Linked DNA regions of Macaca mulatta. The protein of the gene in region 2 purifies or fractionates together with the protein of the main gene of each other region. This does not show direct contact. Links are inferred from orthologs where the notes say so. Each region holds a gene or a part of one and is shown on either strand. Other genes may lie near its edges.

Region 1 (4,969 bases), on a different chromosome or scaffold from region 2:
GTTGTAACACTTCTTACAATAAAAGGGACTCTAGTTAGGAGCTACAGACTTTTGTGGTTTTGGTCATGCTCCACGCCCAGGTCCCAAAGGGAAAGGCATGGATCCTGCCTGGTCTGGTAGAGGCAGGAGCTAGGGAGAGAGTGCATCTTGCTTTGCAGCATACCTGTGAGAGCAGGTCTTTTCTGACACCTGGTTAGTGAAGTACTGAAGGGAAAGAGGGACTCTAGGGTTTACCTCCAATATTGCTGAGCAGGAAAAGGCCTTTTGCTTGTGGTAGGTAAGTAAGAGAGGAATGGAGCTGAGTAACTTGATAACCAGGCAGGAATCTGCTTTATGATGTGAAAATATTACCTTTTAAATGTTTGGAGCAGTATTGAAGTTTAATTTGAAATAATTAACCAAAAAAGTTTAACCTGTGTTAAGCAACTATAATTTATAGTTTATCTTTATTATTCATGTGCTTAAGTAATTGAGCTTGTTCTTCACGTGATGTAGTGCTTGGAACTAAAAGAAAGTGATTAATTACTACCCAAATTACAGGTTTTAGTATTAGAACTAGTACCTGGATCATTATTTTGTAATTATTTTAAAATGCTATGTCATTTGCCTTTTACCTTTTTTTCTGGGATATTTTTTTCCTGCTTGAGGGCATTTTGGGGCGTGTAAGTTTGTTCAGAAACTTGTTAAGAAGACCTGCTAGCAAAATTAGTACAGACTTGGCAAAAACAGACTTGTCTCCTATTCACAGCGTTCAAGAGGGGTCAGAAGGAACCCTGCTTTCTGTAGCATGACATGCCATTTCTCTTAGGTGTGGTTTTAGAGCAAATGAGACGGTTACTTTACCAAAAACTAGGTATATTCAGAGAACTTACGCTTTAAATAGTAGTTTGTTGCTACTATTGCTGAAGGGGGAATATTTAAAGGGATTCAATATCATGATGGTTTAAAAGTAAGTGGTTTACAAATTGTTGTGATAATGAGTGTGTAGGCAGATCTTTGAGGGGGCCTGAAATCTGATGCAGCTCTCCTTTGTTCTAGGTTATACTACTCCAACTGCCCCCCAGGCATACAGCCAGCCTGTCCAGGGGTATGGCACTGGTGCTTATGATACCACCACTGCTACAGTCACCACCACCCAGGCCTCCTATGCAGCTCAGTCTGCATATGGCACTCAGCCTGCTTATCCAGCCTATGGGCAGCAGCCAGCAGCCACTGCACCTACAAGGTAAGGCCACGGTCCCCTTAATGCGTCAGTCTCATGTTGGAGAGAAAGAAACCAACTACATACACTTAAAGGAATCTGTGGATTAGTTCCTTATTAATGGTTGCTTTCACATACTCTCAGATGTTCACTGTTGTTACATTATAGTAACTGATGTGATAGAACATACCACAGAAATATTCTGCATTTAACAGTGAAATTGGCTGGGCACAGTGGCTCATGCCTATAATCCCATCTCTTTGGGAGGCCAAGGCGGGTGGATCATATGAGATCAGTAGTTCAAAACCATCCTGGCCAACATGGTGAAACCCCGTCTCTACTAAAAATACAAAAAAATTGGCTGGGCATGGTGGCTCACGCCCGTAATCCCAGAACTTTGGGAGGCCGAGGCAGGGGGTTCACGAGGTCAGGAGATCGAGACCATCCTGGCTAACACGGTGAAACCCTGTCTGTACTAAAAAATACAAAAAATTAGCCAGGCATGGTGGCGGGCGCCTGTAGTCCCAGCTACTTGGGAGGCTGAGGCAGGAGAATGTCATGAACCCGGGAGGCGGAGCTTACGGTGAGCCAAGATTGCTCCACTGCACTCCAGCCTAGGCGACATAGCAAGACTCCGTCTCAAGAAAAACCAGAAAAATTAGCTGGGTGTAGAGGCGCATGCCTGTAATCCCAGCTACTGGGGAGGCTGAGCAGGAGAAGCACTGTAACCTGGGAGATAGAGGTTGCAGTGAGCCAAGATGGCGCCATTGTACTCCAGCCTGGGCGACAGAGCAAGACTCCATCTAAAAAAAAGGTGAAATGGTGCCATCCAAGGGCCAGCATGAGGAATGGCACTGAATAGGTTCTCTGGTTTCACAATGACCTTTTTGGGTAGGAGAAGGCTATTGTTTTAAAGAGTGTGTTTTCACTCAAAGCAGCATGACTGATAGAATTGTACTTTTGATGCTTTTATTTTTGGTTTCATTGACCTTGTAAATGGATAACCGCTTTCTCTTTGGGAAAAACATGGTAGTTCACACGGGCAGGAGGGGAAGGGGTGCATCACGTGAGCCAAGAAATGGTCGTATGACCTAATTGTCTGGAAAGAACATACCCATATTTGAGAAATAAAACATCACTGCCTCAGCTTAAGCAGTTGACATGATTTTCTCTACATTATGTAGAGGCTTAATAATCTAAATATAGGCAAATAAAAATTCTTAACTGGGTACCCTGCTGTAGGATGCACAGAGCTCATACCCCATGACTGGTTAGCAGGTAAACTGTTAATTATTACTTAACAAAAGATTTTAGGTCTTTGCTTCAGACAGTCACTTAGGTGGCTTCTGTATACAGTCTTGAAGGTACATTGAATTCTGGTTAGAAAGAAGACATTTTGGGGAATAAACAAGAAATCAACTTCTAACCTAGACTTACCTGCTCTAGGGGTAAGAAATTAGCTCTGACAAACACTCGTGAAATTACTTTTAAAATGCATAGTGAGTAATCAGAGCCACTTGATAATTTATACTTGGTAGGCAGCCTTTGCGGTAGCTAAGTTAAACTTAGTGGCTCATTCCTGGAAGGGCCTCATTTCGGAGTGTCATCAGACATATGAAGTCCCATTTGATGCTCTGATGCAACAGTGTATCCAAGCCATATCAGGAGGGTTTTATGTATGAATTGGGGTTTGATAAGGGACCTATTTCAGCTTGGGAAAAGTTAGTACTTCACACCCTCTCTGGTTTTCCTGGGTTTTTTTGTTGGTTGGTTGGTTGGTTTTTTTGAGATGGGGTCTAGCTCTGTTGTCCAGGCTGGAGTGCAGTGGCGAGTGCACCCACCTCCCAGGTTCAAGCTATTCTCCTGCCTCAGCTTCCTGAGTAGCTGGGACTATAGTCATGCACCACCATACCCGCCTAATTTTTGTATTAGTAGAGGCAAGGTTTCACTATGTTGGCCATGCTGGTCTCGAACTCCTGACCTCAAGTAATCTGCCTGCCTTGGCCTCCCAAAGTGCTGGGATTATAGGTGTGAGCCACAGCACCTGGCCTGGCCTGCCTGTTGATTCTTTGGGCTTTGCTTAAAATACTAATAGCTCTAACTCAGTCTGCTGCAGCTGTGATGTAAACTGTTAGGGCCAAGAGGTAATAGAAACCCCTGGAGTTTTCCTTGGAATTGAGATTAATTTTCATCATTTAACAGGGATACATACTTCCAGGTTCATCCGAGCAGGGAGTTGGGAGGGGTCTCTTTGCCTTACTCTGGTGTTTCCATTATGGAGACTTGGAGCCGAGTTAGATTAATTTATGCAGCTCCGTTTAGTAAATGATTTTTTCTGGTTGGTTGGTTGGTTTTTTGGGTTTTTGGTTTTTTTTTGTTTTTTGTTTTTTGTTTTTGAGACGGAGTCTCGCTGTGTCTCCCAGGCTGAAGTGCAGTGGCGTGATCTCGGCTCACTGCAAGCTCCGCCTCCCGGGTTCACGCCATTCTCCCGCCTCAGCCTCCCAAGTAGCTGAGACTACAGGCGCCCGCCACCACGCCCGGCTAGTTTTTTGTATTTTTAGTAGAGACGGGGTTTCACCATGTTAGCCAGGATAGTCTCGATCTCCTGACCTCGTGATCCACCCGCCTCGGCCTCCCAAAGTGCTGGGATTACAGGCTTGAGCCACCGCGCCCGGCCAGTTTTTTTTTTTTTTTAAAGACAGAGTTTCGCTGTTGTTGTCCAGGCTAGAGTGCAATGGCACAATCTCGGCTCACTGCAGCCTCCGCCTCTGGGGTTCAAGTGATTCTCCTGCCTCAGCGTCCTGAGTAGCTGGGATTACAGGCGCCCACCACCGCACCCAGCTATTTTTTGTAATTTTTTTTTTTTTTTTTAACCGAGTCTCGCTCTGGTGTGATCTTGGCTCACTGCAAGCTCTGCCTCCTGGGTTCACGCCATTCTTCTACCTTAGCCTCCCGAGTAGCTGGGACTACAGGCGCCTACCACCACAACCAGCTAATTTTTTGTATTTTTAGTAGAGACGGGGTTTCACCGTGTTGGCCAGGATGGTCTCGATCTCTTGACCTCGTGATCTGCCCGCCTCAGCCTCCCAGAGTTCTGAGATTACAGGTGTGAGCCAAGGCGACAGGCCAATTTTTTTGTGTTTCTAGTAGAGACAGGGTTTCTCCATGTTGGCCAGGCTGGTCTCGAACTCCTGGCATCGGGCAATCCACCTGCCTTGACCTCCCAAAGTGCTGGGATTACAGGCATGAGCCACCGCACCCGGCATCTTTTGAGATGGAGTCTCTCTGTCACCCAGGATGGAGTACACGATTAACAGCTCACTACAACCTTCACCTCCCATGCCCCAGCGGTCCTCCCACCTCAGCCTTCCAAGTAGCTGAGGCCACAGGCATATACCACCATACTTGGATAACATTTTTCTATTTCTGTAGAGGTGGGGTCTCCCTATATTACCCAGGCCAGTCTCAAACTCCTGGGCTCAAGCCATCCTCCTACCTTAGCCTCCCAAAGTGCTGGGATTACAGGTGTGAGCCACCATGTTTGGCCTGGTCTGTTTTTAATAAATAAGAATCATAAACCTGCAAATTCTCTAAATTTATGATGCCATGGACTTACGTAAATGTTACTCCAACCTAAAACTTACATTATTGTTAGTTTCTAGTCTTCAGCAGTCCCCTTTGAGAAAAAGCATTTATTCCCTAACAGATCACGTCTCCCGGATCACCTAAACTGGTAGGACAGAATATCACAACGCTCTTTTATAGCTT
Region 2 (5,756 bases):
CTGAGTGATCAGGAGAAAGCATACATGCAATTAACACTACTGCGTGTTTGTCATGTGCCGGGGGCTCTCCTGGCATTTCCTTACACCCATACCTGCCCTATTCCATGAGGAGAATCAGCTCAAGTTAACAGAGAAGGGAACTGAGGTCAGAGTGGTTGAAGAGTGCCTCCGGGGCCACCCATTGCCAATAGTGCCCAGCAAGCATGTGAAGTTGATGCTCTCATGCCCTAGCTGGCTACTTCACTTTGTGGAGGGAGGCTCTGGTCACAGTGTAAGTAGTTTTATTCTTCACTTGCTCCCTTCCTGCCCAATGGTTGGAGTATCTCTCTGTATCTTTACCTTGTGAACGAATACCTCCTCCCATCCTGGCCCACCCCCATCACTGCATCTCTCCCTTCCAAAGTATTCCTCTCCGCCCACTCCTCATCTACTCCCATTCACACATGGCATCTTGTTAGAAATAGCAAGGGTAGGGCAAACAGCAATGAATCAGAAGTGGGGGCAATCTGTGTTTCAGGGCTGACTTAACCCACCAGATGACTTTCAGCTACTGCTTGACCTCAGCCTCGGTGTCCTCAACTATAAAATGGGGATAAGAAATGAATACTAATCTTTGCTTGTCTCGCAGGTTTGTTGTGAGGATGGAATGAGATAAACAACAAAAAGGAAAAGGTGGCTACAGGATTATCCATCATAGTTGTCCATGAGAGTGGACATCTGAGCCCCCCCAGAGCAGGGACCAGGTGGTCCTCATGGGTACCTAGCTTTCCTGGTACAGAGCCGGCGCTTGATAAAGAGATGTGCAATTCAGAACTAGGACCACTACCACGCTCCGCACCACCCACTGACACACATGGAGGCGTGCTCCTGCCGCTCTCATCCACCATAAATGCAGGCAAGCCCACAACACCCCACTTTTGGAAGTGCTGCTCTAGTCCTGGCTTATTCCAAAAACAGCCAGTTCCTGGAGGGAAACCAAGTGATTGTCACGCTGCCTGGATGCCTCCGCTAGGCACGTTTGACCAAGTCTGGGTTCTACCCCTTCTGCAGGGAAGTTGCTAAGAACTGATCCGCCAACCTGGCTCACACCCCTCCAAGGAGCCCCAGCTGGGTGCGTCCCTCCCCGCACTGCCTTGGTGGCCCGCACGCGACGTGGTTTTTTGTTTGTTTGTTTTGTTGTTGTTCGCAGGAGCCCGGCCGCCCCTACTGCTGTTTTCATTGATGCCTTGAGCAGAGCTGGCATGTGCAACTGCTGAGAAGGGGGAGCGCGGAGCGGCGGGGGAAGCAAGTAAAAATAGCCTGGCGCGCGGCGCTCTGCCTGCTCCGGACGCCTTTAACCCTCGCCGAGGTTGGAAGAACGCAGCAGCCGGCGCTGCACACTGCGGAACCTGGCAGGGGTCTGCACCCAGACCCCAAGTGGCAGCGGGGGTACGGGGCAAAGGGGCCAGCCAAAACTTTTTTTTTTTAGAAAAATGAGCCGGGCGTGGGGTGAGGTGGAAATGCAGGGAGGAAGCGCCTTCTCGCTTCCAGGGCTCCAGCCACCTGGCAGAGACCGCTACGTGCCCGCTCGCTCCACATTTCACAGAAGCGCGGCCTTGAAACCCTGGGCTATTTTTAGAAACCCTTTCGGCGGGTGGGCGATCAGAGCGCGGAGGGTGAGGGGACTGGTAAGGATGGCTTTCTTCTGGGAGGCTAGCCGCCTCGCACTGCACATCATTCCGAATGTCTGCTCTCAGGTGGGGGCTGGGGAAGAGGAAGTGGTGAGGGGACGGCAGGCATGCAGGCTTTGCCCTAACTCAAGGAGACAGCACTCGCTACTGAATGCCCCACTGCTTTCAAGTCCCGGAGCGTGTTTGTTTTGAAACCGACAATTGCCAGATGCATGCTGCTTCTAGCCTCTCAGAGGATGGGGATTGATAAAGCGTTGCTGCCTACGCGGTGGGGCAGGGGTTTTAGCAGCAGAGTTAAGACCTCAAGGGAAGAAGACCAGGAAGGGTCTCTCTACCTTTTTGCATTCCGGCAAGACAGAGGGACAATCCCCGCGCCACACCCCCGTCCCCGCCCCCCGCTGCATATGGGTAACCATATGTGAAATGTGCGGCAGCCCCACCAGACACCCAGCTATTAATAGAGCCCGGGAGTTTGCTCTCTGTGTCTTTTTCCTGCCACTGAGTAAGGGATGATCTTCACACACATGCCCCACTCCGCCCCCACCTCGGCGCACCGTTTCTCCAGGAAGGTAAGGGGCCTGCCCACGCTGATCCCCTTCGTGACTACAGGTGCCCAGAGCCTACGGAATAGTCCGGTTGTTGTAATGACAGCGGGGTCAGGGCGAGGCGAGGGATCACAGCCTCGAGTCTTGGGACACAACGCCCAGCAGGGCTCTCTGCGGCTCAGGGCCAGCTGGAGAGTAGAGAAAAAGGCCGCCGAAGGCGGGGGCCAAGAACGCAATTTGCGGAGCTACAGCGACCTCCTCAAAAGCCCTTGCGGGACGGGCGGCTGCAGACCCGTTTCTCACTGCAGCCGGCGGCGCGCAGCCCCCACAGTCCGCGCAGGCTCGGCTGCGGCAGGGGCGGACGCTGTCCCTGGTGCTGAAGGTGGCCGCGGCCCGTGTGCCCTGCCGGGTTAAGCGCCCCAGAGGCGGCTCTGACATCTGACGATTGCAGACTTCTCTCTGGCCCAGATCTGGGCCGGAGGGTCTGTAGGAGGTGCTCAAGCCCTCCCGCCGGCTCGGCCCCCGCGGCCGGGAGCTCTCCGCGCTGCTGCGGGGACGGAGAGCTCGGGGACCGACTCGAGCTTGAAGGGTAAAGCTGAGGCAGCGGCAGGAGATGGTCAAGACACTGCAGGGAGCAGACCTGGCCCCAGGATTACCCACCCCAGCTCTGCACAAAGCCGGGACCCGGGAGCCCTCACGGAGCCCAAAGGAGAGGGCAGGGGAGCGCGGCTGCCCAGGGTTTGGGACTTGGGGGCAGGAGAAGGGAGCAGCGGGCGGCAGGAGAGGGTGATGGGGTGAGAGTGACTGTTTTGCATTTTCAAGAGGGAGGGGACCTGAGACATGAACTTCCCCCCCACCCCCCACCAACACACACACACACACACACGCGCGCGCACACACACACACACACACACACACACACACACACACACGGAGGCCGGCAGAAGCAAGCGGGATGAAGCTGGGGAAAGTTTGGCACTCGGTGCTGAGCGGCGGCGGCGGCGGCGCGGTGGTCCGGGTGGGCGGCGGGGTCTCCGAGAGCCCCTGCTCGCTCGCCTCCTTACCTCGGTGTTCTCGGCCGCGTTCTCCGCCATTTTCCTCCTTAGGAGCAGGCAGCGGGAGGAGTGTTTCATGCCCATAAGAGCCAGCAAGGATTTGGTGATACAGAGATAGTAGAGAAAGAGAGAGAGCTGGTGTAGCTTTAAAAGAGAGAGCGAGAGAATGGGAGAAAAAATTCCAACCCAGCCCCTCTGCTGGAGCGTCAGCCGGCACAGTCAGCCACAGTGGAGTCTGTTCTGCAGTCTCCACTTTGTTTTATTTTCCTCCTTTCTCATCTGCTCCGGATTCCTTCACACAGTTTCAAGTTCTTCTCGTGCCCCCGACCCCCCTCCCCGCCCCTCTCCACCCGCGCTGCGGGCTAAGCGCGAGGGAAGCCGCCCTGAAGGCTCCGCGGCGGCGGCGGCGGTCGCGGATCCTCTCCAGGCTGCTCGCAAAGTCCGGCCGGCCAGAGGCAGCCGCCAACTCCTCTCAACTTCTGCCGATCCGCTGGGCGAAGCAACACGCTTCCTGCGCGTCTCTCCTAGGGGCTGAGCCGGGTGAGTGGGGGCGGGGTAGGAGGTTCGGTGGAGCAGGCGGCGGCTGGGCGCAGACCGAGGGCCCCCAGCGCCCCCGGGCCCGCCCCCTCCCCTAGTCTCCGAGGGTCTTGGCCGCCTCCACTCCCTGGCGCTGCGCACAACTTGAGCGGAGACCAGGCCCGCGCTGGGGGCCCAGAGAAAGCAAGCGCCGGGCAAGGCTCTTGCAGGTTCTCAGACCCGGTGCGCGTGCTCCCACCTAGGGCGAGCTCCGGGCGAGACCGGGCCACAGTTAACTCGCACCCTCCCCACCCCGTCCCACCCCAGCTCTCCCGCTCCTCTGCCAGTTCCTGGATCCTTCCTTGGCGAATTATGGTTTGGGGAATGAAAGGGTGGGTGTCTGGATGGGGGAGGGTCCTTAACTCCTTCAACTCTAGGGGTAAGTGTGGTGTCATTCTTTATCCTTCTCTCCCATTCTCTGTACCCAAAGCCCTTGGGACTCCAAGCCCCTTTCAGGTTGAGAGGCAGGGGCAAAGGTGGCGGCCAGGGTGGCTTGGGAAAGAGGGTGGGAGAAAGTCAAATGCGAGACTGCAGTGCCCGCCGCCCCCCCAACTCCAGTCTTCCCTGGCAGCCCCCTGCCCACGCATTTCTCTTCTCCCTCCTCACCCTTCCCCCACCATCGCCAGATTTTGAAGTCCCTTTTATGGGAGAGAGGGAGGATGTCACGCACCCATCAGGATTCTCTTGATCCTTTTTTAAGGGAGTTTAGGCGGCAGCAGGGGGTGTGAATTTTTATACAATGCATTCCTGTCTTCACTTTGAGAGCTGCTTTTTCTCTGTCTTACTGGCCATCTGTCGGGCAGTGGGAGATAGAACAAAAGCGGGGGACCCCACTCTGCCTCTCCCTTTGCAGCAGGACACTCAGGCTGACTCCTTAAAGCAGCTGCACTTTTAAGCTTTCAGCCTACAAGTCAGGAACTGAGACCTAAAAGATGCTGCCTGAGCACCCGGCTGTCTTCACGTCATCTCTGTACTTGTTTGGGGAGGTCCCTCCCAAATGCCCTATTTGCTTTTATCATCACCTTTGATAACTGGGAAGTGTGAGCCTGACTGTCCTCAACTAACCCGAGTCCATTGAAGAAAAGGGCTAGAATCTTTCTCAGTACGAAATATGCCTCCATCATCTGGTCCTCGGGGAAAGAGAGGATACATTGCACTAAGTAGAGGTGAGAAGTGAGGGATAGAGGAGAGGATGAAGAATGAGAAGGATGAAAATGTAGCAAGCGGCTTGAGTTAATGAGACTGTGTGTGTGTGCATGTGTGTGTGTGAGAACTTGAATAAAAATACGGCCTTAACCTCCTTAACCTTTTCCCTTCTCAGAACACAGACCTGGGTTAGAGCTGGGGGTGAGTGCGCAGAGTCCTTGACAACACCCAGTCGTTCTTCCCGTTCACATCCTGCCAACGTGCAGAGAGTGGTAGGGAAATAAATGATGTGAATCTGGAGGATGACTTTTACCCTATTGAATTCCTTTTTCTCTAGGCATCTTCTCAGAGACAAAAGATTCTGAGAGACACCTAATCCCCTACCAAAAGTGTCTCGGTGTTTGTGCAATCAAAGGAAATCAGAAAAGAAGGGATTCTCACCGCTCTGTGGTCCAATCCTCTCATTTTACAAATAAGGACCCCAAGATTGGACAGAGGAGGACATTTGTCCATGGTCCATCAGCAAGCCGAGGACCCAGCTCCCCAGCCTCCTGACTTTCAGTCCGACACTCTGCCCCCACCCGGCACTGCTTCTGCTTGTGCATCCCTTCTGTGACTAACCAGGGAGGAGGGGAGCTGAAACAAGCTCCCACCGGAATAGGCTGCTGCCTGTGCGTGATTATGTTGCTATGAGAACCTCAGTGGGTGTGTTTCCTCCTTTCGCTGTTGAAATCTTTTGCTTTGCTTGGCTTCTCCCCAAGCAC

Evidence for each region.
Region 1: the proteins of PRMT8 (region 2) and EWSR1 purify together in Homo sapiens (affinity purification with mass spectrometry; 3 studies listed by BioGRID and IntAct, counting the BioPlex papers as one, with this or other methods). This does not show direct contact. The link is inferred for Macaca mulatta from reciprocal best matches to the Homo sapiens genes PRMT8 and EWSR1.

The regions. Positions count from the first base shown.
Region 1 is NC_133415.1:22,274,929-22,279,897, reverse strand, and holds part of EWSR1 (RNA-binding protein EWS), read left to right. Parts: intron 1-1,038; coding exon 1,039-1,225; intron 1,226-4,969. UniProt on the Homo sapiens protein: Binds to ssRNA containing the consensus sequence 5'-AGGUAA-3'. Might normally function as a transcriptional repressor. EWS-fusion-proteins (EFPS) may play a role in the tumorigenic process.
Region 2 is NC_133416.1:4,397,611-4,403,366, reverse strand, and holds the start of PRMT8 (protein arginine N-methyltransferase 8), read right to left. Parts: upstream 3,772-5,756; 5' UTR 3,355-3,771; coding exon 3,280-3,354; intron 1-3,279. UniProt on the Homo sapiens protein: S-adenosyl-L-methionine-dependent and membrane-associated arginine methyltransferase that can both catalyze the formation of omega-N monomethylarginine (MMA) and asymmetrical dimethylarginine (aDMA) in proteins such as NIFK, myelin basic protein, histone H4, H2A and H2A/H2B dimer.